Caenorhabditis elegans: one gene and its partners. The protein of the gene in region 2 interacts with the protein of the main gene of each other region in a pairwise test. Each region holds a gene or a part of one and is shown on either strand. Other genes may lie near its edges.

Region 1 (8,107 bases), 160 kb from region 2:
TTCATTAATCAATATTCGTCCATTTCAAACTTCCCCTTCACTATTTTAAATTTATGATTTTCTTAAAAATTTGAATTTCCAGAACTCACAAAACCAAACGCCACCCGACGGAAGTACACCGGCATCTACAAAAAATACATCTACAGAAAACATGACAGTTAGTTCTTTTTCTTTTTGAATTAAAATCAATCAATATTACTGATCTTTTTCCAATATTTATCTTTCTCAAAATTGTGTCATTTCGATTTGCAAGAAAGAGGGCGAAACGTGAAGAGCAAATAGTGAGAAAATCAAGAAAAAGTGGTATTGAGTGATGATTTGTTACGAAATTGTTGAAATTGAGATGAACGGAGAAGTATGTCAAAGAAAGACTATTTATTTGATTAAAATATTATTTATGTTGCAGTTGATATATAATTAATGAATCATAAAAGTTATGGGGCATAGAAAAAGTGATTTCTTACTGTACCATTTGAAAAATAATCTATTTAGGAAATCAATTTGCAAAAGTGACAAAATATCTAATTAAAATGATTCAAGAATTTTATGTTTTTTTTTCTAAAATGTAGAATTGAAAAGTGGTAATTAGGAAATTTAGAAGACCAAAAACGTTTATTGGTTTTTTTATTGTATATATTTAAATTAGTTGTGTTCTTTTTTTTAAAGTAAAGCATGGATTCAAAATTATATTGAAATTTGGCGTTTTCTGCCTACTAATCCACATTTAATCAAGAAGAATCAAGGAGACATTTTGATTTCTAGAAAATACGCTACAATCCAAAAAATTGACTTAATGCAACTGATTTATATTTTGAAAATTTCGTTTCGCCAATATTCTATCTCTCAAGCATGATCCTTGATTTTAAAAAAATCAAGGTAGAATATCAAATATGACAACTATGTTTATCTTTCAAAATAAATTTGAAATTGAATTGCATTACAGAACCTCAGCTCCCGATCCTTCAACAGTTCCATTTCTCCACGCACCGAAGCTTCTACTTTGAAAAATAACAACGACAAAGACAACACGTCCCAAAGTTCCACGTCATCCGACTTCCATGATGAAGATTCAGCTACTCATTTCTCTGAACAGTTTGAGCAAGAAGATGAAATAATTGAAGAAGTTCCATGTCCTTGTTCTGAACATTTTGGACGTCTTATTATGGATAAGGAATTCAAAGTTTCTGTTGAGAAGTTCTATGAATTGTTATTCACGGATAATGAGTTCCTAACTATGTTGAATCAAAAAACAAAGACTGCTGAGTATGTAGCTGCAACATGGGTTCGTGATCATCAAGGAGACAACACGCGTACTTGCACATATACAGTATCCCTAGCTCATGCAATGGCTCCAAAAGCAATTATTGTGAATGAGAAACAAATTCTAACACATTATCCAAATCCAAAACAAGGAATAATGATGCAAAAAGAGACACAGAACTCTGGAGTACCATATTCTGATAATTTCACTGTCAATTGTCGATACTGCATATCAAGAACTGGTCCAACATCGTGTAGAATAAAGGTACACGGAGGTGTTATGTACAAGAAGAGTACATGGGCAGTGGTGAAGACATTCATTGAGAAAGGGACTCATCAGGGTCTTGATGAACATTATCAATTGTTGAGTAAGCTTGTTGATGAGTATGCAGCCAATCATCCAGACGAGGATCTCAGGTTAATATTTTTTATTTCATTTATAGGGCTCAGGAATACATCTAGTATGATTGCATTTCAAGTTCAAAAAGAAAAATTGTTAGAATAGCAGTCAAACTTCAACATAATTTAATAGATTTTCTAAAGTTGACTTCGGAAAGTCAATGAGTTAATAAATTTACTTTTTTTTTAATTTTCAGAGCCCCAATGTCGATTACATTCCCAAATGGAAGAGATGTCATAAAATCATGCGAATCAGAGTCCACACCCAATGAGGTCCGCCACCGTCGTTCACAGAAGTCTCCAGAACGTCTTCTGGCTGGTGGCGAAATCGCGAAAATTGTCGATGATTCGCAGTTTCTCCCTGAATCACAAATCATTCAACCTATTGCAACTACCAATAAACTGACTGCAGTTGATTACAAACCGTTCTTGATTGCTATCATTGCTCTTCTGACGTTATTCTTCATTGCAAACATCTGGATTCTGCATGGATTTCACAGAGAATCTTTGCCTGTTTCAAGGTAAACTTTCGTATTAGATAATTTCTGAATTTAATTTCCTACAGAAATGACCAGGATCTTGCTGAGATGTTGTCGACATTAATGGATCAAGTGAAACAGCTCAAAGAAAAAGTGGATCAAATTAAAAAATCTGAATAGACGTTCAAGTTCAGCTGCCAATTGTTTTGTAAATAAGAAACTCCCGTGTATCATTCTCAAGCATTCCATGTCTTCCATGTGGCCCGTTTTTCACTTCACCGATCCGTAAAGCTTTAAATTTAAATTATGGCTACAACTTTTCCGGTTTCCTCTTTTCCCTTTTGTTAATTCAATGTATTTAGTTACAGTTTCCCTTTTATGTGATCAAGATTGATTGAAGAAAATGAAATAAAATAATGCAAGTGTGATCAAAATCATAATACAAATTTAGAATTGATTTGCTAGTGATTTCTCCTCCGTTTTCTCATGTACTTTTTCCGTGAAAATAAATGATTTGAAATTTACAATGTCTCATCGAAATCCAACTTTTTTGCAGTTGCACGCACCATCGAAGGGTGATTCGGCAGAAGAGACGCGGCATATTCCTTCAAAATGTTTTTTTTAAATTATTTTATTTTCAAAATTACCTCAAACGACAAATCCTTGAAAACACGCTTAATAGCCATTCTAGCCTTTGCTTTTGTCGGTCCAGATCCTTCAACAGTCCAAACTTCGAACTCTGAACTGGAAACTGGATAAATCTGAAACAATTATTTATTGAACAAAACTATTCAATATCTTACAGTAACAGCTGCAGCTTCAGAAGTAGATGATCCCGTGATACTCGGATTAGTTGTTTCCTTGATGGCATATCTTTCGATGTGAGCATGAAGCTCATGAACGTTTCTCAAATATTCCACGTCATCCGCATCAGTGTAGGAGAGAACCTGAACGATATTAATTTTTAAAATAATATTTATATAAAACTGCAGAATTTCTCACTTAGCTAGAAAAAACCATACCTCAAATGGTTGCATTTGATTATCCTTACAAACTGGGTTAACCCTTTCCACGTTTCCCGTATCAAACTTCATCGCTTTCTTCGTTGTATCTGAGCACATCGATGGCAAACGAACAATCGGAACTGTATGATTATCACCAATCACTGAAAATTTAGTCACAATTGAATTTTCAAATGACTCAAAAAATACCTGGTAAATTAGTGAATGCTTTTCTCGTTTCTTCCTCTTCCTCATCATCATCAGAGTCTCTTTCCTGTAGATGTCTTCGCATTTCTCTCATTTCTAGAGCATCTTCGGCATCATTGACGATTTGTATTGGAACTGCGCAATTAGTTCGAGCAAGAATCAGAACACGTCTGGCTTCTACGTATGCACCAGCTAGTTCCACAGATTGAGACCAACGAGCGTAGAGAGCAGCGCACCTGAAAATTGTTTCAATTTATAAAATTCCTAAACGAAAAATATCAGAACTCACTTTACTAAAGATTTTCTGCTAATAGCAAACTGATAAATATCATGTGCATGACCAGCGCTATTATCTGCCATTTTCTCCCAAATTTTAAGCATTCTCTCGTCCTCTTTGTATTTCTCCAGGAATCCATGTCTAAAATATATTTTATTGTTTTTTTCAGTTTTGTAAACTAGCCTGCTGATTATTTTCCAGAGAAGTTCGTAATATACTTTGTGAAAACCAATTGCAAGTTTCTCTTCAAACCACGAACAGAAATCTAGAATTTTCTGAAGTTCTTCGCTTTCTTCTGAACATTCCAGGTTTTGAAGTTCTTCGAGAAGTTGATCAAGCTTTAAGCGTGCAGTTTCTTCGGTAACAACTTCTTCAACATTCTGAAATTTAGATAAAATTTTTTTCTAGGAAAATACCATACTTACTCTTTTCAGTGCGTCAATCTTTCTTCCCCTTCTTGTTGGGCGGACATTTTCCGAATATCGATCCCAATCATCTTCTGCGTCATCATTGTTTCGTTTTTTAAGAGTGAAAACGTACGGTTCTTCTGCCATTGCTAAAATAATATGTATAAACTGGCAACAACGACTGACAATCAATTTTTAAAAGTTAAAACAAAAACAAAAAATCTTCAAAATTTCATTTAAAATCGCCGCTGTTTCGCGCATTGCCTCTAGAGCGCGTTTGCACAGAGACCATACAACGTTGAGGAATTTGGGTTTTGAGGATGCGCTATTTGAGAATGCAAAAAATTCAACTCAAGAAATAGAAATAAAATGAGCGATAATTAGCTGAAAACCAAAATATTGACTAAAACGTTGTAGCTTTCTCCACGCCAAATTCCAAGACAGCAAAAATTTGCGTCTTGACTAGAAATTTAAACTTGGAACTTATTTTCTAGATCTTAAATAGTGAGTGATCTATATTGCTTCTTAAAAGTTCGGTTATTGCAGTAACAATTAAGCAATGAAGTTCTTTTAAACTGTCTCAAAACTCTTGACATTACTGTATTCTTTGTTCGTTCCTATTTTCACTTCCCTATTTGAAAACTATGACGACTGACTTATTGAAGTTCTCATGTTTTATGAGTATCATAACTTGTGAGACTATTTTAGAACATAAAATGAAACATTATTCTGAACCTGAACGAGATGAGGTTTCAAATCTTTACTTTCTTGGCTCTACTAGCAGCGGCGATAAACATTGGCGAGGTAGGCATTTAAAACTGATTGGTTTGGTTTTACAGTAGTATTCAACAAAATTAATATGCATTTCAAAACTTGAATTTTTGTCATTTTTTAAATTCTATTACCGCTATAAATATTTCCAATAAATTTGTTTTTGAAGGGCGCAAAGCCATGTCGAGCCAAACGTCCGACCACTGAACCACCATCAACAACTACAGTGGAGAGTTCAACAACTCGTGATTCAAAAGCACCTTGTATGGCAGTATTTGAGAATATGAAAGAAGAAGAAGATGGTTTTGAAGATTATGCAATGGGAGTTACAACTGCAGCATCAGTACCAGAATGTAGTAAAACTTGTGAAACTGATGTGAAATGTGCATACAGTTTCTTTAAAACTAACAAGTGTTACGCTTTCGAGAGATTTAGACCAACTGATTTTGTGAAGAATGGAGGGATGCCACTTATTTTCAAGGTGAATACGGGATTAAACTCTGTGACGACAGCCACTAAACGACACGTATGTAGGTAGTAAACATGCCTGGGATAGGCATGATGCAGGCAGGAGGTACATAGGTATACGCTACGCTAGCATATAGGAGGTAGGTAGGCATGACGAAAGAACGTAAGCAGAAACGAGCTGAGAATCAAGCAAGGCACCTAGGTAGACGTAACGTAGGGAGTTAGACAGGTCTTCCTGTTTTGAAAAATTTTAAAACAGGACCGCAAATGTTCGGAAACAGGTAAAGCCGGCCTTCTGAAGCACTGATGCTGAGCTATAGCATATACATATCTTAAAATTAAAAATTATTTTTCAGCTATATCTCAACGGGACGGTCACATGTGACACTGCTACAATTGATGAATTGGCAAATACGAAGGAGAAAATGTACTATCCAGATGGTGGATCTTATTGGCTTTTCAAAAGTATTTTCGATAATTATTCTCTCAGTGTTAAAGATCCAGCCATGGGATATAAGAGAAGAAAGAGAAGTATTCTTTCGTGGTTACTCAATTTCTAATAAAGTTTTGTGTCGCGTTCAAAATGTTGAGAATTGGTAGTTTTTAAATTTTTAACTCGTGAATTACAGGATTTTTGTTGGGCAATAATAACAATTGAATGTTTTTAATGCTCAAATGAGCACAGAAACGTAACAAAACACATTGAACATACGAACGGACAAATAAAATTTAAAGTAAATTTCGAACCGTTTATCAGTAAAACTTTGATGGTAGAGAAATTATAATGAAAATAATTTAAGAAATTCGATTAAAAACAATGTACAATCAGAAATCTATCTGGTTTTGGATGACTCTCTGAGTTCGACGTTCTGCTTGTCTGCGAAGTAAGCTTTATCGTAGAGATAATCAGCAGCTCCTTGAATGATGATTCTTGTCCTGTAAAGTAAACAGTTTATACAGACAGATTTAAATCAATGGTTTTTAAATGTTATCTTCTGAAAGAAAGTTTTGAAACTTGAAACTCATTTTCAACATTTGTTTTATTGGGAGTTTCAAAATCTATTAGAGAAAAGTTCGCATTCTTAGAAAACTATAGAAACCATGGAAGTTCATGTTTTAGGTTCATAACATAGAATTATAAATTAATTAAAGTTAATCTATTAAAATCCAGGCATTTTAATTCTCACCAAATAGCAATTGCAGCAGTGAAGAAAGAAACAACAGCAATGTTGAATGGCCAAATTGGTCCGTAATCTTGTTCAATTCGATGAACTTTTCCAAATATTCCAAAGACTTGTCTTGTGAATTGAATTCCAAAGGCCATGCAAACAATAGAAATGACCGCCCAGATCAGGAGGAAACAGATTATAAACTGAAATTTAATAAGGAATTAAAAGTTTATAGAATAATTAAAGTAGCCGGAAACTTTTCGGAATGAAGGGAAGACTTACTTCAATAAATTTCAATTTTGATCCTAGCATCTGTGGATTTTCTTTCCAAAGTCCAAATGCCATTAGAGCACTTGTTAAAAGAGAAAGTACCGTAATACCAGCTTGAATATAAAACAACCATTTTCCAATTGAATCCGATTTGTGGCTCATTACTGAAAATTGTTTTCTTAAAACTTTAATTTCTAAGTTTTGTGAAATACAACTATTTCTGAACTTCCAATCAACTAACCGTAAAAACAAATAGCTCCAGTTCCCATAACAAGGAATTCAATAAATGCAGAAATGTACGAGGCAGTTGTATAATGCATTGAATTACACGTGGCAGGGGCATAGTAGAATTTGTCATGTGGAGAGTATACAAAGTTTGGAGGCAATGGAGCCACCCGGTCGTTTGGCATGATTTACTGTAAATGTTATAGAAATCAAATTTCAAAAAAAAGAAATATGTGGAACGCTTCGTCAGAATAAGGGCTTGAAACATTTATTCTAATCTTTGAGTGGAAATGTTTAACTCAGAAAAATTCCCATTGGGTTTAAGTGTTCCAAACTGATTGTGAGATGATTATAAAATGTTTAAATTGACCTTAAATGTACCTAATGAAAAGCGGAGAAGTTACCGTATTTTTTCTACATATTAATATGGCAGGCAATACAAGATTTTTACAAATTTGAGCTTGAAGTTACTGGTTTGTAATTACAAAAGATCACATGTTATATAGAAATCAATAAAAAACATTATAATTTGGTTTTCTTGTGAAATAGAAAGCACTTATCAAAACTTGGATGAAAATCTCATTAATATTTTCGACTTATTGAGCTGGCTTTCGCAAGTGTGTTGAACTTAAAAATTCACTAATCAGTAGAAAAACATTAAAAAAAATTGAATACCACTTCAAAAAAATCGATAAGGAAATATATGGATCAAAGTGAAAGACGAATGGTGTGTCTGTTGCCCGAAACGCATTCTCGTTCCTTTCCTTTTCCCAATTGTCCGTGTTGCCCTAGATATCCAGAGAAGAGATGTTCCGATTGTATTGAGATTAAGTGGAGGATCGAGAGAAATAAGAAAATGACCCGCTTGTGTGAGAGGGATTGTATCCGATTTGTGAATTGCGGAGAATGAATGAAGTACAAGGGTATTTATGGCGTCATCGCATATCATAAATGAAATACCACAAGTGATCTGGAAACCTGCGAATTATGTGCAAAAGATTCGTGTTACATGACAAATTTCATGAACTTGTCTGCAAAAGATTTCAGTATAAACACTTTCAAATTTGTAAAAAAATCGCCGACAGTGAAAACACTATCAAATGGCATAGTTTTCATTCAAAAATCTAATTGTCAGCTGAAATACTTGGCTTGTTAGGCAAAGCCCCCACTGACT
Region 2 (7,594 bases):
ACAAATGATCTTAAAGTCATTGAGAACAGGGTAAGATAATTACACATGTGATGGAGTCCCTTATGAAAAGTTTCAGATCATGAGGCTCCTTAAAAACGTGGAAAGTTTGTTCTTAACTGCTCCGGATGATAAACGAGTTGCTAGTCGAAATGCAATGATGTTGAGAAGACATGTAACTGAAGCAAACGATATGGAGAATATCAAATGTGTACTTATTTTTAGATTTTTGAAAACAAAACAACATACTGAAACTCATGTTTCTCTTAAATTCCTAATAGTTCAATTCAATTTCAGGTGTGCTCTAATCAAGACGCTGTGCATGCCTACCTTCATCCCATCGTTGATTCATCATCAGAAAAACTTCGATGGCGCCAGATGAATATTCCATTGATCCGTCGAATTCTTCATCAACGCCTTCAATGGCCTGATCGCAAACAGCACAACGAAGAGCAGAATTCATTTGACGCTTTCGAAAAATGGAATAATTTTCTAAAATCCGGTGGACAAAGCCAAATGCGATTAGACCGATTTTTCGCACAGAAATTGGATAGTTCTCTCGAACTAAAATGGTCGAAAAAAATTGTCGAGGCGCTGGACAAAATTGGACAACGTGTAGCGGGAACTATGAAAAACAATGAAATGTCAAAAGAAAAGAAAGTTGATAAACAAATCAAGAAGAGCAAAACAGCTGTGAAACGTGTAACTCGTGCCAGAGGAATAGGTCGCGGGAAAGGAGGAGCACTTCTTGTACCAGCTAATAGTAAACTGAATCTATCTGAGGAAAGCAGTTCTAATGATTCTTTTGATGAATTTTAGTTTTTAGCTAATTTATCTATTGAAAATAAATAAAAATGTTGCATTTTACACCAATTTCTTTTATTACGTTGAAGTTATTCTGTCAATTTGTGAATATTTTATTGATATTAATATTTAATACAAAATAATGAATTTAGCCTTCTCTTACAATTGAGCACAAAATGTGCAATGTTCTAATGTGTTCTATTTTATGTTCTATTTATAATATATTTATTGTATAATTAAATATAAATATTGTGCGCTGCAAGTGCGCCCCTTTGAACTAGTGTTCTGTTGGCATTTTCCATGCGTCGAATTTCTCTCCTTTTCACGTTTTCTCTCTATTAATAGAATAATTATAATTTTGTATTGCTTCTTATCCAATTCGAATAAATTTGTAAAAATATTTCAACTTTTCAGCCAAGATCATGCTCAAATTTGTCATAGTTTCATCAATTCTTGTGGCCCTAGGTCTGTCAATCGAATTGACATTCGAACTTCCAGACAACGCAAATCAGTGTTTTTATGAAGATCTGAAAAAGGATGTTGACACAGTGTTTGAATTCCAAGTTAGTATTTCAATTGAAAATCGTAGAAACTGTAATAATTTGATAATTTCAGGTTGTTACTGGAGGCCATTATGACGTAGACTTGATCATTGAGGATCCAAATGGAAAAGTTTTGTATAAAGATACTAAAAAGCAGTACGACAGTATCAACTTCAAGGCCGAAGTTGAAGGAACATACAAAGCATGCTTTTCAAATGAATTCTCCACATTCTCTCATAAAATCGTTTACATGGATTGGCAATTCGGTGATCAAAATGCTCTTCATGCTGCCGTTACTCAAGGAGCTCATGCAATGACTCAATTAGAAAATTATGCAGTCGCTATTGGAGATAAATTGAGAACAGTAAGATTTTTATTTAAAAAGATTTATTTTTACAATTAGAAAATGCTCAAAACGTAACTTTTTCGAATTTTATGAATTCGTTCATTTTTCCAACTCTATTTTGCTGGGAGCTTACTAAAAAAGTTGTTCACCCGACATTTGACATACTTATAAACTTTTTTGTAGATTGATGACTATCAAACTCATCATCGTCTCCGTGAAGCAACTGGTCGCAAACGTGCAGAAGAACTCAACGAGCGCGTGATGATCTGGTCCCTTGGTCAATCTGCCGTCGTAGTATTCATTGGAATTGGCCAAGTTTTCCTGCTCAAATCATTTTTCAATGATAAAAGAACTCGTTATTAATTTTTTCACACCATTGCTCTTTTTTTTGTAATTAGCAGCCTTCTCATTTTAATGGGTCCCGTCAGTTGTTTTGCCCCTTTTCCTCCCTTTGATACATAGCATAAGAATATAATTTATTGATTTATAACTGAGTTTCATAACATAAAAACCCGAAGCAATTTTATGCAATTGAGAATTATTCAGGAATGTCTCCGTTGAGAACTGACTGATATTCCTGGAGTCTCCGAAGAAGTGCGTCATTTTGATTAAGAAGAGTTTGGATTCCGTTTACGAGCGTCTTGCGTTTTTCACGGTTTCGCTTAGCCTGAAAGTTGATTGAACTGAATCGAAAACTTATTCAAAGTACAAAATAAAATTATGACACACCTGATTTTCGGGAGTAGTTTCAGTGATAATATTCATCCCATCAAGAGTTTCCAGATGTCTTTCCGCCTCTTCGTTGAAATATTTCACTTTCTTTTCCAGCTTTTTCCCCATCTCGACCTGCTTTGGTTTTTCGAGAAAACCACGTTCCAAATCAGCGACATCTCTCAAATTGAGATCATAGGCTTTTTGAAGATTGCTCAAATTATGCTTCTCATATTGCATGAGCATTTTGAAGCCCGCGTCATCAACCAAAGCATTTTTTCCACCCATCACAATGATTTTATCATTTTCTTTAAAATTTAAAGTAGAAAGGGAGACATCGTCGGCGCCTTGAAGAAACTTTCCTGTAAAATACTTTGTCTCATTATTCCAAAAAATCAGAAACAACCTCTGTGCAACAACTTCATGGTTTCAACATCAACATCATTGTCGGTGGCGATTCGATCGCGTAGCTGCCCAAGTGTCAAAATAGATTCGTCTTCTCCTTGATTTTCCTCAAGAATGTCGATTGTAGTTTGAACGGATGAACACGACACATTCACCTTCATTTCTGAAAATTGATTTTGAGACAGTTTTAGCAGTGGGAGAAGCCTCCGAGTGTCGATAAATAAGAAATTGGAACAAAATTATTGTTAACTTATTAGAAAATTAAGAAACTTCTAGAAATGACGAGAAGCTTATGCGAAAATCAGTTCCTCCACGAGGTGTACACATCGATTGCAATGGGGCGCACTCGCTCAGAGACTTCAGAGAAAAACGATTCCATAGACAATGAATCACCGTTTTCGTACGATACTGTGAGGGACATTAAATTAGCCCATTTTTGTTTTTAAGTCACAATACGAGAGCACATGATAGTTTTTATATTGGACATGTAAGAAACACAATGTATGAGCAATAAAATAAACAGTGAGTTGGGTGATAACCATCGGTTGAATAATAAGTATGCAATTATTTACAAGAAAATTACTTATGGCTGGAAACTTTTTTCAATCGCTCGAGAATGGCATCGAGTTTGTAAATTGTCTCCTGGTCAATCTGTTTGTAGATTTTGTCCCGATTTTTAACTATTTTGCGAAAATTGTGAATGCACTCTGTTGCTTTTGCAGCTCGCTCTTCAGCTACCACATCGACTCCAATTCGCCGAGTTTTGGTGGATGCAAATCCGATGATTGTGTCCAGTAAACTGTTGGTAATTGATGCAAGAGCCTTCAAGCAAGCCGATCGCTTCCCATAATTGTCGCTCGTGATATTTTCTGAATTACAAAACATTAGAATAAATTTATCAGGAAGCAAAACCAACCCATGATAAATGTTAAACAAGCATGGCACGAGTTGAGACACCAAGAGTTTCTACTATTCAGAATTCTAATGACTGTGGGAGCGAGTTGGTTGTCGTTTGACAATATCTGTTCCATGTTACTTGTGAAACTCTTCATCTTATAAACACGAAGATCTGAAAAGAAAACATAAACTGAAAAATCAAAACTCTGCAAATCCTACTTCTGCTCTCTCGCTTCGCACAAACACCGATTTTATTCACTTCCTCGGTGCATGCGGACCACAACGACGCGTTTGATGACATGACTGACACGGATGATTCTGGGGAGGATTTTGGCAAAGAACTGCTATGTTCTTCACCTCTCGAAACCGGGTTCCGAGACAATTCCTTCTTCGACTCGGAATGCAATGGACGTCTTGAGCGAGTATTTGTGAACTCGGGCAGATCGGCTTTCACAGTTCGAGAACTCCCGATGAAAGTGATGGGAACGTCCTTTTCCGCACCGCGTCTGAAAAAAATATAATCGCTTCAGATACTTTTTTCGTAGAACTCACCGACTCGAAGTAGATCTTGTATTTGGTCTGTTTTCAGCGGATTTCGGAATGTCGTTGAGAGGCTTCCTATTTTTTGCATGTGTTAGTTTTTTCCGGTCGTCAAGCCCTGACATCTGAAAAATTTCAAAATTTCAAATTTAAGAAGAGACAAACATTTTATAATTGGAAAAAAACACAAGATATCAAAATTAGACGAAAGAAAGGAACTAGTAAACAAGAAAAAACCGTTTTCCCGCATAAAAGAAATTCCCGCGTAATTCTTTGAAGTACTATCGTACCCCGCATGAGCGCTGCGGGACCCGAATAACATCTCATATGCGCCTTTAAAGTTTTTAATATAAAGCTGGATTTTTTAATCCTAAGTATTTACTTTTGCCTCATTCCAATGAATTCTTGAAACGATATATTTAATATTTAATTTAGTTCTTATAGTAAATGGCTCCAGTACTTGGTTTGTTGGAAAATGAAGCGAAAGTCAAGTCGATCATCAGAAAGTAAGTCACCAAAAAAAGAAACAGTTTATATTAATTTAATTTCAGCAATAACCTACTCGAAAAAAAGTTTTCGAGCTTTCAAAGACAGTGTAGAGACCTATCAAGAAACCATGCACTCCGTAGGCGATTTTCGTTCTTGGTTGCAAACGAATTACATTTTTTCAGTCGATTCGTGTTGTTCACAAGTCAAACATTCGGCAACAGCCGCAGAAGAAATGTCAGTCAGCGATAAAGATGTGAAAAATCACCAGAAGAAACTTCATTCATTTTTGGCACAGTCTACTGATCAAGGTATCATTTTCCTTTTAACTTTTAATATTTTAGTTTTCGTGTTTCAGTTAACTCCACGATTGATAAAATGGATTTTTTCTGTTCCAAGGGCAATCACTCTCTTCCGATGGAAATGTCAGTGCTTTCGATCACACTTCCATATGAAGCGTGTATTGAAAAATCTGCAAAAAAACACGAAACTATGGTTTTTTCCATTGATGAAGTTTCGAGTGCTGTTCAGCACCTGGAAAATGAAAAAGTCGATGTGGAAAAGCGTCAATCTTCAACAGGCAAACTTATATTTCAAACTGAAAAAGAAATTATGAAGCTAAAAGAAGAGATTCAAGTAAATACAAATCTCGAGTCAAATATTATTCAATTGTCTCTGGAGAAGCTTTCTTCAGTCAAAGACTCTTCTACGAGTGAAAATGTTTATAAAGCGAAACTGGAAGAGGAGGTATTTCTGTTTCATAAAAAAGGATGTAAAATTTATAATTTAGATAAACGAAGCCAGGCAAATATATGAAGACGCATTGAAACAGGATGTGATCAGCCAAGAATCAGCTATGATGACCCAGCAACTAGAATCTCTTAATGAGTTGTGCTCTGACCTCAGTGATCTTAACAAAATTAATCTTACATCTATCGAAAAGTTTCCTGATTGCAATGAGGTATGCGAGCTCTCCGATGAACTGCAAACTCTTGAAAAGTCTGAAGCTGAAAACTCAGAAAGTATAATAAATCTCGAGGCGTCGTTGGAAGATATTAAATATCAGAACAAGAAAGTCCGTAAGAGTTTTGATCAAATAAACCAATTGGAAAACGCATATATCGTTAAAAAAGAGGTTCTGACTCGGAAGAAATCTGCTATCGAGGACGTCAAGCGACAAATTGCTGAAAGCAAAATCACATTAAATAAATTGAAAGTGACTGTCCGTGCTGTGGAACGATCTGACACCCCAGAGAATGTGGAATCAAAGAAAGAAGTATTTATTCATTCAAATTCAGTATATTACAAGTCTTGTTTCAGGAGGCTTTTCGGCGTCTCGTGGCATCTAGCACTGAACTTCCCGGACCAGAGTCATTCCAGCGTGACAATGTTCGAAATGTGGAGAAATCATTGCGTTTTAAGAAGTGGAACCAAAGAACCACGTCGCAGTCGTCGTTCACTTCAGGTAAGATGTTTAATTGTTTTTATACCAATTTGATTACAACCACATGTTTACTTTTTTGAATAACAAAATACGACGCTTTCAAAGAAGTTTGCAAAGTTTTTTTAATAGACTTTGTGTCAAAGAAGAAATAAATTTATAATTATTTATAGTTTTAGATTCAACACGATCTATTGGACCGATTGGTGTGCATTATCCAGGGATAAAACTTATCAACAAAGACGCTGCAACGCCCACTGAAGTTATTCGGAAGATTACATCGGAGCTAAATGAATCTGCTACTTCTGAAGATTCAACATTCGATGACGATACAGGCACAACACAGGATGAGTCTGGATTGAATGCATTCTTTAATTCTCCGGTTAGCAAAGAACAAACTTCAATGCGTCCACAGTTTTCAATGATTGCTCATATGGAGAAGTATGATACAATGCAGGCCAAGAAAAACATGGATAAATTGCCTGATAATGTTCGCCGAGAAAGCGAAATGGAACACATTTCCCATAATTACGGCCGTAATAATAATTTTTACAGTACGAAAAATTCTGATTACTTCAGGTCCCTCTGAAGTTAACCGCCCGGCGAGTGTTTCATCTAAACGCCACGATCCGGCTGCAAGTATATCGGCAACATCGGAAGAGTCGATCCTATCTGGAACCACTCAGGATGAATCTATGCTCAATGATTTCTTCAATCCAACAGGCACCGACGAAAAACTTAACGACGTTGAGTTTTCCATGACTGCGCATGTGGCAGAATTCGATAACAGACAAAAAGCAAAAAGAGCTGCAGAGCAAATTAAGAAGAGTTCTTCAAAAATATCTGGCAAAAAAGAGGAATCAGTTGCAGATGATAAAAGTGGTTCTTGAATTCTGAATAAGCTTGACAATTTGCAACTATTTTCAGGCTCTGGCAACAGCTACGTAGCTGAAAGTGAAGCTGGCTTCTCACAAGGATCTGAGGAAAACGAATCCATGGATGATGAGGTTTGTGTCTCTTAATGGAATATTCATGAAACATTTATTGTTTTCAGGATTTGGTTGCTCCAGATGATGGCGGTCTAGATCAAACGATTTGGGATGGTGACGACTAAAACTTTCTACATTCTAATTTAATTCATACTTTTTTGTGTTCCTCTTATACGGAATTTTCGCGTAATCTTGTACTATTCCATCATGTTCCTATTGTTTGTGATCTGTTATAAGTTATAAATCATTGTTCTTTAATATTTCAATATTATTGCTGTCACTGTCAAAATGCTAATTAAATTTATCTTTAAAAATCAATTTAAATGTTTAAGTCCTGTAAATATTTATTAAACCGTCGAATTTCAGGAAAAATAACTGTTATAAAATTTATTTTACATGTTAACATGCATGTTAGAAAAGAAGAATTTTACATGTC
Region 3 (8,755 bases), on a different chromosome or scaffold from region 2:
AACATGCAAAGAAAAGTGATAACTTAGTAAAAAAACTATATTCCAGCTGCTGCATCGAAGAAAATTCGGCGATATTTTAGATCTTCGCAAATTCAGGTTTTTTTCCGAAATTTTCTTTTCCTTCGAGGTGCTCCTTCTTTAACGAAATTTCTCATTAACTGTACCTAGTATGTATATTCCGTTCGAGACCTCCTCTCGCAATAACTCGTGGCGTATTCGGAGTAGTTGCCCATATTTGAGAGTCATTGTTGCCTGAAATAAAAAAAAGTACATACTTTCTCATTCTTCCTCATTTTTATTTTTGTGCCTTCATTGGCCTCATCACCTATTCACGGGTTCATCTGGCACACACACACACAAATTTACTGGTCAGCGACTGAGCCTAGAGGAGGATGAAAACAGAAGCAAACTCTTTTTTTCTTTCAATGGCTCACACTAATCTCTGTGTCTTTCCTGTACACGCCTTGTTCTTCTAAAAGAGAGATTCTTTTGGCGATGCGACGACAACGAAAAGAGCACCGAATGCAAATGTGATTTACGCCCTCAGGGCTATACATATCTACAATTTCACATGTGCAGCAACACAAAGTCTCTTTTGTCGGTGTGCACACTCGGCGGCGGCAATGTTCAACAGGCCTTACGTGGAATATGAGGCGCCACACAACAAATTGCTCGACTCTTCCAGTTTTGCTATTTCCAGCCCGGAAGTGTGACTCTATTTCTTGCAGCAGCAGCAGCTAGGTTGATCTAGTTTGGAGCTCCTTTAGAGCTCCGTTTTCAAGATCAGGCCTTGTTGCTCTAATAATCTCGTTGTAGATCTCTATAGAGTTAGTCCACGAAAAGTTTCAAAGCTTCATCTGATATCCGTTTCATTCAAAAGTCTAATTCAGTTTTTTTGAAAAAGGGGGTCTCCCTCTCCAATTTTCATGAGTGCTTCTCACGCCTATCGGACGCCTTTTTGACGTAGAAGAGAAGATAATCAAATTGTTTCGATTTCAAATTTCACATTCACAGATCTCCTTCTCTAGTCAATAGGCTCTCTCGTCAATCAGAGTTCAGTCGCGGTGACACCCCCGAATCTAATTTGATTTTCTCATCGTAGAACTTTTGTTCACATTCGAGACGAATTTCAGAACGAAATTCAGAATATCGTGTGCAATTCGACTCCTCCTTCCCCTCCCACGTCTTTTTTCTTCCTTATAGCTGCCAGAACACATCGGACGTCGTTGTCAATCATTTTTCTTATTTAGTCGAGGACGTATTTTGTTTTTACATCTGCTGCTGGTCTCATCTTGCAATGCTGAAGCACCAAGACGCCGCCCCATTTATCATATTCCGGACGCTATTAGTTAAGTCGGGCGGCCGCTCCAAGTTTTACTCGATTTTAAAAAGAAATCGGCTCTGCATTTTCATTGTTTTGAACCTCCTATCACATGAGTGACCTTCTTCTCTTTATATAATCATCTTTGAGAAGATCGACGCACTTCCTTTCTCAATTTTTTTCTGTGAAAATTGCATCTTCGACGAGAATGTCTGAAAAACAACTTCTTCAGCTATTTCTTTGAATAATGTTACGTCCTCGTGAGCTCATCATAACATATTCGAATACCCATAATTATTCATTATTCACCTTCGCGAAAAGAGCATGCTAAACAACTGTGTGCTCTTTCTACTCTCTTTGAAGCTTCCGTTGCTATAAACAGATAGAAAAGAGAAAATCCATTCTTTGATTCATTCTGTTCTTTTACGATTGGCTCAGTTAGGATAGATGAGATACTTAATGATGAAGCTCATTTTCAGTGTATCAGAGATCTTCCGGACTATGCAACAAAATGGGCAATCAGTCTGCTCGTCAACTATCTACACATCGAAAACATGTAGTACATACGTGGAATACAATAAACTCGCACGATCCACAGCTTCTGAGTGATGCCATTAGGTGAGCTCTTTTTTCAGACTGTTCCTGAAAAGCAATTGTTTTCAGTGAGGCTTGGCTCAAATCCGCCGAGTTAACACCCACATGGGTATGGGCTCTTGTTGATCTACCAGAGACTATGCACGCTACCTATAAGGAAAATGCTCAATTTCTCAACATCATCAATCAAGTTCGTGACTTTCTCAACATACTCATCAAAGTTCACAAATGTGATCCAGAAATGATCAAGACGCTTTCCTTCCGTCTCGGAGCACGCCATCGGTTAGTCATATGCGTGGGTGGGACAACACTCACAAAAATGTTTATAGACATTATATGAATGAGGGAAATGACAACTGCTTTTGGGCTCCGTTTGCCCAACAACTTCCGATCGCCATGAGCAAAATGTACATGCGGGTTGTCACAGAGGATAGCAAGTAACTTTTTGACAATTTACATCACGGGTGGGAAATCAACTGGTTTTCAGAATTCGGCGAATATTGAGAATAAGGTCTAGGGCAGCGGAGAAAAGTGAAGAAGAAGAAGTTTGTGAGTCTTGGAGACAGTTTTCCTGCATGTTAATCGAATCAATGAAACGAGGATATGAGGGATGTGCAAGTGAAAAGACACCTCTTCGGTTAAGCATTACAAAGTAAGTGCTCTTCCATATCTTCCACAAAAAAATCTAAACATTCCAGCTCGATAATCTCAATGGCATCGATGCGTTCATCACGTTCCCGATCCGCCTCCCATTTTCTCGAACCGAACATGTCGCCGGCAATCGGTGCGTCTCAAGTTCATCATTCACATTCGTGTCGTAGCTCACCATCATCTAAACACCGCCCACCACCACCTCGTAGATCACTTAGATAGTTTTCTCGATATTCTTCAGTTGATTTTGTTCGCTTCTACACTTTCCTTCTCACCACGTATATATATATATATATATAACAATAAATACACTAACTTCTAGGTTTGCTGTGTGCCGTGTGCTTTTCGTTTTATAGTTTTTTTGTTGTTGGTTTCTGTTGGCTAAATTCATATTCTAATTTACTCAAATCTAGCTCCAATGTGTGCTCTTCTTGGCTCAACAGAGAGCAACTCGACGACTACAACAACTCAGCCATCATCTCCAATTACTCCATATCGACGAAGAAGTATGTTCCGCGCGGGTGGAGCTCTTCAAAGGAATAGCCAAGACTTCACAGCACTACGGTATGTAACAATTTGACGGACATCAGCTATAATTCTCACTTCACGTATTTTCAGAAACCGCCGTATGTCTTCTCCCAACAACCCGTCAATTCTTCTAAATAATTGCGACATTCAACTGCTCAAGTTGACGTCTCAATTGAGCCCCCTCGAAGATCAAGTCAAACAGAATCGAGTGCCAGGACGAGCGCATCAGCAACGGCGAAGCATAACACTTTTAAATTTTGATCATCATCATCGTGCACGATCGCCCACGACTTGAGGTTAATGGTGCTAATAAATTTTTATGAATTAAAAAAAAAAATTACCTTCAAAATTCGGTGTTGGAAGTGTTGCAGGGTAGCCTGGAGCGTTCGGGTTGTTTGGAGTAGAATGTCCAAAACCGGATCGCAGATGAGGAGTGAACGGTGAGCGGCTATCAATTTCCGAGCTGATCACTTCGGAGAGCACATTTTCTGGAAAATAATTATGATTTTTTGTTGAATATAAATTAACTCGGACTTCCACACTATATCATAATTGAAAATATTTATTTTTTAGTTTTTAATCACAACTCTTTCTAATTTAACATTTGATTTTTTTAGTAGTTTTTGGGGAAAATCGAATTATTTCCTGTTCGAAACGAGGTTTTTTTGGTTTTTAACTTAAATCACTGTAAATTAACTAAATATTGACGATTTGAATGTCTGATACAATACGAATAATATATTTATCCAAAAGCTCAAGTTTTCAAAAATTACCGGCGGGAGAGTTGAGTGTCGGATCAAAATGCGTAGTTCTGCCGGCAGAATTCGGCGCCAAACTCGACGCGAACATTGTTGAATCAGACGGTCTTCTGAGTGCTTCAACGTATCGAATCGCTGCGTGAACTTCCTGTTCTTGTGTCTCTCGTGCCATATAAATCCGATGCGTCTTCTCCTTCTGATCATAGACAACAACGTAATTTTGCTGAGCGTCAACGAGTCCAGCCTCGTCTCGATGCGATTGCCAACAGAATTTCCATTGTGGATGGTAGCCGCTTGTCTTGTAGATAACCGGGAGAAGCTCGCCGAATGGACCGGATAGCGAGTAGAGGTGAAATGTGTCGTGATGGTGGAAGGTTTGTTCGCTGGATGAATCGTAGAACCGTTCGACCAGAAGACTTGTCGAGCAGGAGAACACGTTGCGAAGCTGGAAATATTTGAAATTATCAGAATTTCAAACTAAATTCTCACCTTAAAAGGAATTTCATAGTGATAGAAATGATAGTCGGGAAGCGATATGAACTGGAGCTTATGCTCACCGCACACAACCAAATAATCCCGATGCTTCGTATCAGGTCCACCACAATTCTCAGTTGCCAACTTTTCAGCGTTTCGAGTCACAATGAACGAGTGGAAGAACACTTTTTTGATATCAAACTCCATTTTGAACCGTCGTTTAATCATCTTCCGTCGCGTCGTTCCATCACAAATGAGAATAATTGGACCCGATGTGAAGACAAAATCCGTGGTCTTCTCCTTGTTTCGAAACGCGCAGACCACTGTATCCTGGGTGAAGAAATCCTGAAAATTTAAGTTTACTTTTTTTAAATTGTTAATTATCTAAAAAAAATTACCTTTCCAATTTCATCTCCCAGCTGAATATCAAACTGTTTATTAGCAGAGATCATATTTTTCCAATGGCAATCATCAAATTCTTCACTCATACAAGTATAATTCGAATTTGAATGAAGCTGAAAATCCTGTTTTAAATAGTAAAATTATTTTGGAAGTATGAAAAAGATTTGAAACAAATTATAAAAACGAATATATGGCGAATATATATATACAGAACAAGTTTTACTTTAGAATCCTTAAATTCGGATAACAGATAAAATGTTAATTGATACATTATCAGTAGTTCAGTAGGTCAGATCATGATGAAATATTTAGAATTACAGGTTATCAATATTCAGATCGAAGTTGTTCCTTCCTCCTCCTTTTCTTTCTTCACTGCTTGATTGTCAGTTGGAGCATCCACTGCTCGTTTTGCTGGACGACGAACCTGGAAATTTGTTAATTGAATATTTAAAAAGTCTACGGGAAGTTAATTCAAACCGTACCAAGCTAGAAATATCATTTGCTTCCTTCTGATCACCGGCTTCTTGTGGAAGTTTTGCCAATACTTGTGTGAATCCTTCGAATTGCGCTTTAATGGCCTTCTTAGTTTCCTCAACTTGTGCTGCAGAGTGCACAGCATCAGCAATCATTTCTTCAACGCCTGGCATCATCTCTTCAAGCTCCTTCAGCTCATTCTCAAATTCAGACTTCTTTTCCTTATCATCAACACCTCTTTCCAGCTCATGCTTCAACTCAGTCTGCCTGGCGATGAGTACGTCCTTGGTTTTGCCGAAGTACTGAACGGTTTCATCGTAATTCGCATCGCTAGCACACGCGTTTCCGATGAGAATGTAGGTTTGGGCGATTTTTCTCGACGACGGTGGAAGAACATTGCGCTGAATGTTGAGGGCACGATCCAAGTCCTCAAAAGCCTGAGTATACTTTCCATCTGATATTCCGTGCTCGCCGAGGAGAACCAGTACATCAGCGAGTTTCAGGTTCCATTCCTCAATGGCACTGATTCCACTCTGCTCAGCTTCTAGAGCTTCGATTTTGGCAGCGGCAATACAACGAGCTGTCTGAAAATAATCACAATTAAGCATAAAATCATTGAATAAAATAAGAAACCTCAAGAATTTCCCATGATAATTTCATGGTATCATCATCATCGTCCTCTTCTTCACCGGATTCCTCTCCGTCCTCCTTCTCCGTTTCTCCATTCTCTTCGTCAGTCTTGTCATCAGAATTTCCAGCTTGCTCCTCATCTCCGCTTTCCTTCTCACCTGGACCTTTCAGAAGTTGGCTCTCCTCCTTCGCCAATTCCAGTGTGGCCATGCCATAATAGTAAAGAGAATCGAACGTGTTTTCATGGTTTTCTCCATAAATTTCGGAGCTCAGTTCAGTAGCCTCACTCAACGAATCCGATGCTTTGTCGATATCGTTAACTTTCAACGCACGGCGTCCAGCTGCAAGCAACTCGGCGAGACGCTTCTCTCTGGAATACGAAAAGTGATTTTATTGATGATATTCTGCAGCAAAAGTTTACTTCTGCTCGACAGTCTCTTCTTCTGTAGTAGTCCCGTTTCCTTTTTCATCTGAATCTCCTGAAGCATCCTTCACACGAATATCAGAGGCGTCGGCGATGTTTTCAGTGTCCATTTTCTGATTTGTTAATATCTGAAAATAAATACTATTCGATATATATTCAAAATTCAATAAAAAGCGGATAAATTCAAATGAGTATAATAGCGCGGGAGAGCCTAGAAACCGAGCGTTGCCTAGTCCACTAAAAACCGGCCATACGGCGGGAATTAGTACGTTTCGAAAAGGTTTATCAATAAATGTTTTTAAACAAACATATAAACTGTATTCATGATGTTTTTAGAATTCTACCGCTAGAACAGACCGACAGGCCGATTTTTTGGTTGATTTCAGTTGATAATTCCAGCTTGAATCACTTATTAACACTGCCGCCGCTTAAAAACTTTTAATTAAACAAAAATAAACACAATACTTCAGCAAAACTTTCATTTGAAAAGAGAAAAAACAATTTTTTGGGAGTATAAACTTAAATTGTCAACAACAAATTTTCCCGCGCTGTGCAATGTTGCGTCTGCGTGCCGCACAGATATTACTGTAACGCATCACATATGACGAGCAATTGGAGTTTTCTTTATTTTTTCTTTTTTGTTTTTGCATTTTCTTTTGCCTATTTTCCTTCTAGTTCTTTAACAAAATGAATTTATTAAAAACTTTTATTCTAAATACTAGAGAAAAACTGTATATCACATAAAACTCGATGGCACATTGTTGAGAATCTTCCAAGTTGTAATTAAGTCCGCTCAGAAGTCGTTTTAGGCGATTTCTGAAAAGAAATTAAAATTATGTTTAACTGCTGTGTTTCAATACCTTCTTTAATTTTATTGTAAATTCGTTTTCCCCATTTTCTGAGTCGTGTCGTCGTTTTACTCCACATTTTACGATTGGGGGTTTGGAGAGAATGCCGAGGAGAACTGGATGGTCCGACAATTTCAGATCTGCAATCTAGTTTTTGTTGAATTTCGTTTAATCACTATCAAACTTACTTTCTTTGTCCTCCTGCAAATTCATAGCCTGGAAAACTGGCGTTCGGATCGTTGTGAATTTATTATCCGGATATTTACATACACCTTGAGCTTTGTTAGTGCCGGCTTCCGTAATTCTTATCAGCGAAATTTCAAATGCCTGAAATTTTGTAATGACAGGTGAAAAAAAATGTAGATCCTCACATTAACATGGTCGGCGACATCCGGATACACAAAATTTTCTATCCATTTTGCAAATGAGTGCAAGTTACTGTAGCTACAAGTACCAATGAGAGCGCCGTGCTTATAAGTTTCTGAAAATTATATTTAATTGGTCTATTAAGCTTAACTATAAAATATTACTTTTATTATCTGGCCAGTAATGCTGGTGTGCGTCGAATAGAGTTAGCGTGTCCTGATTTCTATCGAAAATAATCGAAACTGTTCGAACACAGCTCATCATGATGAAGACAAGGCGACTTTCCGATTGAAATAATGGACTGAAAAATGCCGGAAATTTATAGAATTTGAAATTTTGAACCTACTGCCGAACAGCCATCTTGATTAGTTTTGGTAGAGATTCTTTGATTGATCCAGTAGTTAGTTTGAAATCAACTTCCGAAAAACTAAGATCACATGCTTTGATTGCATCTGGCAAGTTGTAATTTCTCGTAGATTCGTCACCAGCGTGCTTTGAATAAGTGTCATTTCCATCCACAATCCCATTAATCAGACAACCAATAAGTCGCGGTGGGCAAGTCTGAAATTAAGAAATTTATAATCCAATAATTAAGCTTAATCTAAAAAGTCTTACAGTTTCAAAACCATTGTTATCCACAACCGTCTCATCTGCAGAGCTACGAATATAATGTTTCCGCTGCGTCCTCTCAGCACCGGCCGCCACACGATCATTTCGAGTTGGATACGGTATTGGCATTTTGATGTCATGAATATGGACGAGCTCGGCAATTTTCAGAGCAATGAGGGTACAGGCATTTGATAAAGTTGTCCGTCCACCGATAGAAGATTGGGATATGTCCACTGGGAATCGCCACACCAGAATTAACTGAAAATTATGAGATTGAGATTTAAAAAAAAAAAGTCTCATAGAATTTCAAATTACCTCTTCCTCAATGAACGTCACTGGTTGAAGCGTATGATGAATCGCAATGTGATCCTCGTAGTTTTCGGATCTAGAACGCTTCCGAGGCATTTGCTCGTCGGGAAAATTGTAAAATCGTACAGGAAATTGTTAGACTAACTCGAAATAATGTGTTTTTTCTTTGATTTCAAAGGTTCGTTCGTCATCGTGTTTTCCACAGGTCCCACGTTTTATGCATATCATTTTCTTTTCAAATCTAAGGTCACGTCAGCTTTTTAATTTTCCAGATTAATTTTTTTCAGTTTCAGAACAACGCGTTTTGACGTAATTAAATAATGACCTATTTTCTGCAAATTTTTGGTTTTTAAAACATTTTTTCCAG
Region 4 (7,551 bases), on a different chromosome or scaffold from region 2:
GAAATGGACTGAAGGTGAAACATATTTTTTTCCTTTTAAACGCTTTCCCATACATGGTTTTTCACATTTCTATCCGATTTTTTCACAGACAATCTGAATTAAAAATCATTTTGAAAATTAGATAAGACTGCTAAATGAGGATGCAAAATCAACGAAAAAGAACGTTATAAACCTGAATGGTCGAAGGATGCTTCATTTATTAGATCGAAACTTAAGATTTCAGACATTTTCAATCTAATAGCCAGCTAAAATCACTAAAAAGGAAGAGCGACAGCTTTGCAAATATTTGGAAAAAAGAAACGAAAAAATATTGAATTGTGTGGAGAAAAAAGGAGACAATGAACAAAAATGAATTGAAAAGCCGCACTGTCTCTGGTGTTTCTCTGTATTCTCGTTTTAATCAAAAAAGGCTACAAACCAATGGATGGCGGCTAATCCGGATTTTCGAAAGTGTTCTTCATCTCTCTAATGTTTAATTTGGCACTGATCTTTTCAATTTTTCGTGTTCAAAGGCAAATTTATAATTCGAATAGGTTAGTCCATGTTCGTTGTAGATACCTAGTAAGTTGGCGAATTGAACCTAGGTCTATGGATATTTGACAAACATCAAATACTAGAAGGAAATGTTATTTGGTATTTTATGAATGACAGAAAACGTTCAAAAAGTATATTTTTGAACTAAAGTTTTGAAAAGCACAAAATATAAAAAAAAAGTTTCGAGCAATGTTCACTTTTTAAAAGAAAAATTCAAAAAAATATGAATGATCTAGATGAAATTGAAGTAGATCATGTATGGTGGTAAATTTTGGTTTACAGGTATCATATTTGCGAAATTTTTCATTGAAATTAAAAAGTATTCAAGTATTCAAGTTTGAATGGAGTGTTCATTCTGAGTAGAGTTTATAGGGTTTTGCTGAAATACACTAAACCGTAAAACTAGAGAAAAACCACACATTTCCAGGATTTTCATGGGACAACTGCGATGAGTGATTTTTTTTTACTTCGTACTTGAAGTCTTCCTGGAGAGGTTAGTAGATAGTTCATAGCTTGGTTAAACACCAAAAATTAGTAAAACTGAAGACTAATGAAAAAAAAATTCAAAAATGTTATGCAAGAAGGAAGTGAAATCACAGAAGAAAATCGAGGCAAGAAAACAATTGATGGGAACGATTTAAAGTGGGAATGAGTTTTGAATTCATAGAAAATAATTCAAATTCCGACTGTACAAATATTTAGATATGAAGATAAAAGTACAAAACAAACAAGATTTTGGAATGAATAACGCGATGAATGGCAAATGGGATAAAAAAGATTAAAATGGAAAAGAATAAATTATTGAGTTGGATCAGCTTTCTGTGTCGTTTTAATTCCACGAGTCTCCTTGTCAAGAACGATGGTTCCGATATCATAGGTATTTGGAACAAAAGTACTGAATTCTGGAAGTTGGAAGATGTCTCCTTTTTCACTGTTACAGTAATGACGAATCTGAAAATTATCTTTTAGTAGATTACAGAAAAATTATAACAGTTTTCTTAAAGATTTTGAATTTCATAGGCTCGTAATGTTTCAAAAATTCAATGAAACTTGGAAAACAACATTTTTGATATCGAACTGATGATTAAAAAACTAACTTCAATATATGGTTCTGGAACATTCTTAACTCCCGGAATCCAATCGAAATCATCTCCACATCCGTCCAATTGGAAACGTCCGTCATCATTGGAAAATGTGACACCCATCAAATCATCTGGGTCTATCATTTGAAGTGGTCCTGGACCATCACGATCCCAGACACGAATCTGAAATAGTGTTTTGTTGAAATATTTCTGCAAAAATGAATTCACTATCAATTTCAGGAGAAACTGATAAAAATCTAACCTCAACATTCAGATTCTTGGTCGGATCATTTTGACATTCGACTTTTCCTAGAACCCAGACACATTCTCTACCAGCAAGAGATATGGGAAGAATGGAAACGCAGATAATTATAAGCGATTTGAGCATTGTTAGTGGTTATTTTATGTTAAATCTGAAAAAAGGAAAGTTGGACAGAATGGATTCAGAAACGAAATATTTTGAATGATTTCATTTCAGAACAGATCGATGTTTCATCAAAAGGGAGAATAACGGATTATAATAGGATTTTGAATGTTCAATTTATTTTTCAATTAAAAACATGTGCCACTTTTATTTTTTATTCACCAATTTCACCATAAACAAGGAGTTGGATAAACTAAACTAAATTTCAGATTATTATGAATCATTCGCACGTCATTTTTTGTGGGATTAAAGTTGGAAACGTTAGAAACAAACTGCATTGAAAATTAAATATATTGAAAAATGGAGTTTTGATTGTCTGAGGCCTAATGATTGACACCTCCAACTACTCATTTATAAAAATTCTTGATTGACACAAAGAATACGGTGAAGCTGCCGCAAAATGAAAATCAAGCTATTCACAACTGCCGGATGACGTCAAACATTTGTGGTTGGATCGAAACAGATTGAATTGCCAAAACAAACAAGAAAAAGTAAAATTTTCAAGAATGAAGAGAAAAAGAAAGTTTGAAGTATTTCTTGAACCAGTTTCTCGTGTCTGAAACTGAAACGATGGAAAAGTGAGGTTAAAACGCACGGAATTTTAACTAAAGAATTGGACAACTAAATATCATTTAAACACTAAAAAATAATTCAAACTAGTTAAGATTTCTTAAATTAGAAGAGAAATCTCGAGAAATAAAAAACAAAATTGAGGAAACACTATAGTTGTGACAGTACCAATATTCAAAGGCGCATAGCTACTGAGGAAAAATATTTACACATCGCTACGAGACCGCAGCGACGCTTTTGGACTTGCGCCCAAATTGTTAGTGTACGGTGCCTTCTGCGAGAAGATTTTTGATTTTATTTTCATTTTTATTCTTAATTCACAGCTATAAAAATAAAACTATACTATTTCTATTAGCCAGTGAAAAATATTGTGTCCTTTTTCCATGTTTCTCGGAAACAAATGGATGATAAGAACAGGAAAATCCACCAAAAAGAAAGAGGACACCCATATCGTGAAGAATCGATTGAATAGAAAAACCTTGAGGGAGGTTGGAGAATTAATCATTGAAAAGCGATCAAACTGACTAGTTTCTGATGATTCCAATGTAGAATTTTGGGGAAGGTCATAGCTACATTTTAATTGATGATATGACATGTTCAATTTCAACTTTTTTGCCAAGTTTAGTTTGATAAAATAAGTTATGGATTGGAAGACCAATTAAACAACATTTGTGTGTAGAAAATTCAAATATAAAATACATTTATTGAACTCTTAAACATCTATCCCAAAATAATAGGATGTTTTGTGAAATAATCGTTAGTTTGTGGAACGAACACCTTCGGATTTTTCGGGTGTACAAGCGTCACTTCTGCCCTGAAATAATTAAAAATTTAAATATTTATTATGAAGCAAGTGCTTTGTAACTCACTTTCCTTTGCAGTAGTGTCGAATTTTCAAATAAAATTCTGGTTCATTTTTGATAAAAAGAAAATCGAGGTCAGAAGCACATCCTTCCACTTTGAATGTTCCATTGTCATCTGCAGAAGTAATAGTTCTTCCAGCCAAATCATCATCAACGAATAAAGTAATTGGAAACTGTAATTTAATTTTTTTTCAGTTCAACATTAACGACATTTCAAAAATAAAAAAACTTACAAAAGATCGATCCTTGTCCCAAATTTCTACAACCACATTTTCCAATTTCGAAGTGTCCGTACATTGTAATTGACCGACAAACCAGGCACAGTTGTTAGCTGATGAACAGAGAAGAGCCAGTGAGCACAAGATTAGAAATGTCACAGGTGCTCGCATTTTCAATTTTTGAGTCAACTTTAATAAATCTCAAGATTTAAGATTTGGTTGCGGAAAGGTTCGATTAAAAAAATACAAAAGTGAAGAAAAGAAACGATTTCTCAAAGAAGTGAGTCAGTACAGACAACGAGAATTGTTTACATTGCTCTTGGGTTACCTAGTGGTCATTTTTCTTAGCACCTTCACAGTGTGTGGCCAATGTGCACAATTTCACGACAACGTTAAACCAGAAATCGATAATAACTGTTAATGTTACGGTAACAAAAACTTTAAAAAATAGCTTTAGAGTCACATATTTTCATTTTTCGAGGCGACAAACTGCGAAACTTTCAATCGGAAGCGAAATATCACGAGATTTCAAGAGACCTGGTGATCATCCGGCTCTTCACAAAAAAAAAGAGAACAGCTGCTCGGTGAATCGATCAATCCTTTTTTTTGCTCTAACTATTAAGATGCCGAACAAGCTTGTTTTGGAAACTTTAACTTACCAACCCATTTTAGTTAGGATCCGGAAAAATTAATTATAACATGTGTTCTATTGTGTAACCAGTAAACTCGAGGAAGGTATAATGAGACTTCCCATTTTATTTTTTCAATTTTTTTGGAAGCAATAGCTATAAACACGAAAACGCACAATAAATAAGAAGCAAAAATACCAATTAAAACACACATACATCACAATTGTCGAACGCCGGTCAATAAATTAGAAAAAAAAACATGCGGTGACATTTAAAATCAGAAAAACAGCGGCGCAGGACATTCCCGAATAATTTTAGACAACTGCGGAGATAACCAAATCTGCGACGAGTGGTTCATTCGATCTGTAATTTTAGAATTTCAAATTGTGCTTACTATTAGTAGAGATCAGGAAATGACTCAAAACCATTAAAAATGCTTAATTTTAAATTTCAATTTTAATGCTATTTCATAATTCGAAAAATTTTGCAAACAATTATTACTGTCTGATTCCACTTAAAATCAATTAAAAAGTTTAATAAATATTATGTAAATATGTACTAGATTTTATTTTGGAGCAAATATATGATTGACCTAATTGGGATACAATATCAAAAAATGTTTGAAAAAAACGTACTTGATAATAATATTCATGGCAATTGAATTGTCGTTTGGATCCACCGCGACCGTGGCTTTCGAAAGAACATCATATCCACCACGAAAAACTCCGGAAAGGAACACTGTGTGTTGCGTCTTTCCTTCAGGAACACGATCGGACCGTTCACAAGGAACAAGTCCCAAAATTTCAGATATTTTCTTGACAGCATCAGGAATATTTTCCACTGTTGACAATTGGAATGTTTCTTCTCTTGTTGCATCGTCTCCCAACGCTTCCCAAGCAGATCCAAATGAAGATTTTGCGACTCCTTGAACCGAATCCGACACATTAACATCAACTTCTTCCAGCTGAAAATAATTTAGAATTATAAAAATGTATTAAGAATTCTACAGCGTACCACATATGTTTGCTCGTATGTGTCATCCGAATCAGGTTCCCCGGAAGTTGGATCTACATCCATCACCTTGAACTTGAGAATAGCACCTAAACTTCCAGAGATGGCTCCAGAATCAGGGAATTCTAGAAGTGAAAAGGCTGAATGAACTTCTCCATAGGGAAGTTTATCAATTTGAACAGTATTTCCAGTTTCCCATTCTCCATCTGGATCTTCCAATTCAACAGAAACATCAAGAAGAAGCTGGTCATTCATTGTATTTTTGCATTCAAACTGAAAATAAATTCGATAATTGATTTCAAAAGTTCACTATTTTTAAATACCTGCAGAACCATGGCATTGGCAAATGTATGCTTGATCATATGAACAGTGTATTCAGCAATTGATTCCGTGAGAGCAATTCTGGTAGATGACTTGAAGACTGGACCAAGAGCAGCAAACTGTGGAATAGCAGCCAGCTGTGCAGCATATGGCTCAACTTTAGGAGCTTTCGGTTTCTCTTCTTCTTCCACAAGTTGAGGAACACGTTTTTCAGGTTGAGAAAGAGCTTGTTGAGTAACAGGAACAACTCGAAGATCAAATGGAGAAGAGTAAGATCCGGATCGGAGATAGTCAAGAATTGAGCGCTCGAGACCAGATGGCGAAACTTGAAGTCCGTCAAGAATAAAGTTGTGAATGAGGCCTTCGGCTGCTTCAGTAAGCATTTTGAGGTAGAAGGTGGCACGATCACGAACTTCGTCATCAGAATCCAAAAGGCAGCGTTTCAGAAGAACTTGAATCGATGGACGCAAATCAACGCACTGTGCTCCAAATTTGGCGAGAGCTGTAACTGCAGCGGCCCGAACTTTGGTGCTCTCCAAAATTACGCGGTTGTAGATGAATCGAATGTAGCTTGATGGGTTTGGAGTTTTTGGAGCTTCTCTCCCGAGGAGATGAAGAACACGAGTAGAAAGATTATCGTGCTCACAGTCTTCAATGAATTCGCAAAGGTGAGCCAATCCAGCAACTTTAGCATCTGGATTCTCTTCGATGATTGCAATAATAGTTTCCACAATTGCTTTCTTGTAATCGTAACTTCCGTCACTACGCAACATCTTAGCAAGGAAAGGCATCATAACAGTATGCTTTCGAGGATAACGTGAGCACAGTGAGCGAATAGCATCGACCACAACAATTTTGAACTCATCCGAGATCTCGTTTACGAAGCCAGCGATTTGTTGCATGAGTCTTTCAACACTAGACTCGGCTCCAGTCTTGAGGAGGGTGGTGATGGCAAGAGTTGCAATAGATCTGTTCGGGTCCGTTATGAACTTCTCAAGATCCACATTGCAGCTCATAACTGCGTTCGGGTGAGCCATTGCGACTTTGTTGAGAGTTCGAACTGCGGCAAAGCGAACTGCTGCTTTTGGAGAAGTGCAGCACATTTGCAGAGCAGTGATTGCTGGCTGAATCTCCGATCTGCAAAATGAAATATAAATTTACTCAGAAATTATACAATGCTTACGGAGTGGTTTGTGGAAGTGAAACAATGGCTCTAGCTGCTTCATAGACTACCATCTCGCTCTTGTGACGAAGACACGATTCAATGAATGTGAAAACAGAAGAATCTGGCCTGCAACTTTTAATTGATTATCGAACCATACGTTCAATTAAAACCCTTACTGATCGTCATCGACAAGACATCTAGTGGCAATGCGGATCAAATAGCACACAGCATATGGACTACGAAGAGCATTTTTGCTGAACTTCTGGACGAGTTTGTTCACAGCGAGACGATCGTTGGCACGGATTTGATAGAGAAGGGCCAGAGCGTGGTATTGAACCATGTGGTTGTCCGATGAAACAGCTTCTTGTACTTCATTAGCCCAACGACGAACTACCTCGGAAGACTTACGCATCAAATGAATGGAAGAGACGATAGCCGATGAAGAAATCGCACTGTTTCGATCAACGATAGCCTGTTTCATGTATCTTTCAATAGTTTGCAACATTCCAGTGTCGGTAATCTTGCAAAGAGCACGTATCGCAGCTGCTCTGTAGAGATCTTCTCTTCCAGTCATATCCTTTGTAAGACTTGAAGTGACAATAATGACATCATCAGAAACTTCAGCCAATTCCTTCACAGCGAGATAAACCATGCGGCGTAGACTGACATCCTTGCTCTGCCAAAGCTTTGTGACACCAAAAAAGGCCTCAGTTGCTTCTGTTCTTCCGATTGAT

What was found.
Region 1: the proteins of mei-2 (region 2) and san-1 interact in a two-hybrid assay, tested with the Caenorhabditis elegans proteins (one large-scale study listed by BioGRID).
Region 3: the proteins of mei-2 (region 2) and apc-1 interact in a two-hybrid assay, tested with the Caenorhabditis elegans proteins (one large-scale study listed by BioGRID).
Region 4: the proteins of mei-2 (region 2) and ttr-54 interact in a two-hybrid assay, tested with the Caenorhabditis elegans proteins (one large-scale study listed by BioGRID).

What each region holds. Positions count from the first base shown.
Region 1 is NC_003279.8:6,403,604-6,411,710, reverse strand, and holds san-1 (BUB1 N-terminal domain-containing protein), read right to left. Parts: upstream 4,186-8,107; 5' UTR 4,178-4,185; coding exon 4,049-4,177; intron 4,004-4,048; coding exon 3,807-4,003; intron 3,765-3,806; coding exon 3,636-3,764; intron 3,583-3,635; coding exon 3,350-3,582; intron 3,304-3,349; coding exon 3,161-3,303; intron 3,086-3,160; coding exon 2,942-3,085; intron 2,900-2,941; coding exon 2,786-2,899; intron 2,744-2,785; coding exon 2,660-2,743; 3' UTR 2,499-2,659; downstream 1-2,498. Other genes in the region: ZC328.3 (VASt domain-containing protein), read left to right, coding at 83-157, 944-1,677, 1,857-2,180, 2,225-2,318; ZC328.5 (Apple domain-containing protein), read left to right, coding at 4,775-4,834, 4,971-5,282, 5,626-5,829; Protein cuti-1, read right to left, coding at 6,103-6,205, 6,457-6,641, 6,721-6,872, 6,950-7,118.
Region 2 is NC_003279.8:6,561,484-6,569,077, forward strand, and holds mei-2 (Meiotic spindle formation protein 2), read right to left. Parts: upstream 4,370-7,594; 5' UTR 4,368-4,369; coding exon 4,255-4,367; intron 4,209-4,254; coding exon 3,922-4,208; intron 3,875-3,921; coding exon 3,722-3,874; intron 3,675-3,721; coding exon 3,385-3,674; 3' UTR 3,266-3,384; downstream 1-3,265. Other genes in the region: xpg-1 (XPG (Xeroderma Pigmentosum group G) DNA repair gene homolog), read left to right, coding at 1-30, 77-208, 295-816; tmed-3 (GOLD domain-containing protein), read left to right, coding at 1,224-1,364, 1,417-1,707, 1,873-2,052; bag-1 (BAG family molecular chaperone regulator 1), read right to left, coding at 2,228-2,356, 2,419-2,762, 2,807-2,966; syp-6 (Thyroid receptor-interacting protein 11), read left to right, coding at 4,690-4,748, 4,794-4,867, 4,914-5,039, 5,087-5,475, 5,519-6,004, 6,049-6,193, 6,343-6,705, 6,749-7,051 and 2 more. UniProt on the Caenorhabditis elegans protein: Forms a heterodimeric complex in conjunction with mei-1 which severs microtubules in vitro in an ATP-dependent manner. This activity may promote rapid reorganization of cellular microtubule arrays. May act to target mei-1 within the cell.
Region 3 is NC_003280.10:11,104,247-11,113,001, reverse strand, and holds the start of apc-1 (Anaphase-promoting complex subunit 1), read right to left. Parts: upstream 4,842-8,755; 5' UTR 4,779-4,841; coding exon 4,725-4,778; intron 4,672-4,724; coding exon 4,342-4,671; intron 4,298-4,341; coding exon 3,868-4,297; intron 3,583-3,867; coding exon 3,436-3,582; intron 3,432-3,435; exon of another isoform or gene 3,390-3,431; coding exon of another isoform or gene 3,185-3,389; intron 3,131-3,184; coding exon of another isoform or gene 2,980-3,130; intron 2,700-2,979; coding exon of another isoform or gene 2,614-2,699; intron 2,568-2,613; coding exon of another isoform or gene 2,403-2,567; intron 2,353-2,402; coding exon of another isoform or gene 2,245-2,352; intron 2,198-2,244; coding exon of another isoform or gene 1,985-2,197; intron 1,940-1,984; coding exon of another isoform or gene 1,833-1,939; exon of another isoform or gene 1,795-1,832; intron 1,772-1,794; exon of another isoform or gene 1,649-1,771; intron 253-1,648; coding exon 165-252; intron 1-164. Other genes in the region: glb-4 (GLOBIN domain-containing protein), read left to right, coding at 1,833-1,939, 1,985-2,197, 2,245-2,352, 2,403-2,567, 2,614-2,699, 2,980-3,130, 3,185-3,389; nasp-1 (Protein NASP homolog 1), read right to left, coding at 5,060-5,152, 5,211-5,786, 5,836-6,202, 6,254-6,366; C09H10.9 (YqaJ domain-containing protein), read right to left, coding at 7,040-7,072, 7,117-7,244, 7,293-7,431, 7,476-7,585, 7,635-7,771, 7,817-8,031, 8,086-8,337, 8,395-8,484. UniProt on the Caenorhabditis elegans protein: Probable component of the anaphase promoting complex/cyclosome (APC/C), a cell cycle-regulated E3 ubiquitin ligase that controls progression through mitosis and the G1 phase of the cell cycle.
Region 4 is NC_003282.8:10,152,516-10,160,066, reverse strand, and holds ttr-54 (Transthyretin-like family protein), read right to left. Parts: upstream 4,293-7,551; 5' UTR 3,863-4,292; coding exon 3,707-3,862; intron 3,647-3,706; coding exon 3,480-3,646; intron 3,425-3,479; coding exon 3,331-3,424; 3' UTR 3,296-3,330; downstream 1-3,295. Other genes in the region: ttr-53 (Transthyretin-like family protein), read right to left, coding at 1,333-1,485, 1,632-1,799, 1,879-2,004; copg-1 (Coatomer subunit gamma), read right to left, coding at 4,635-4,683, 4,956-5,284, 5,335-5,604, 5,655-6,789, 6,836-6,949, 6,994-7,551.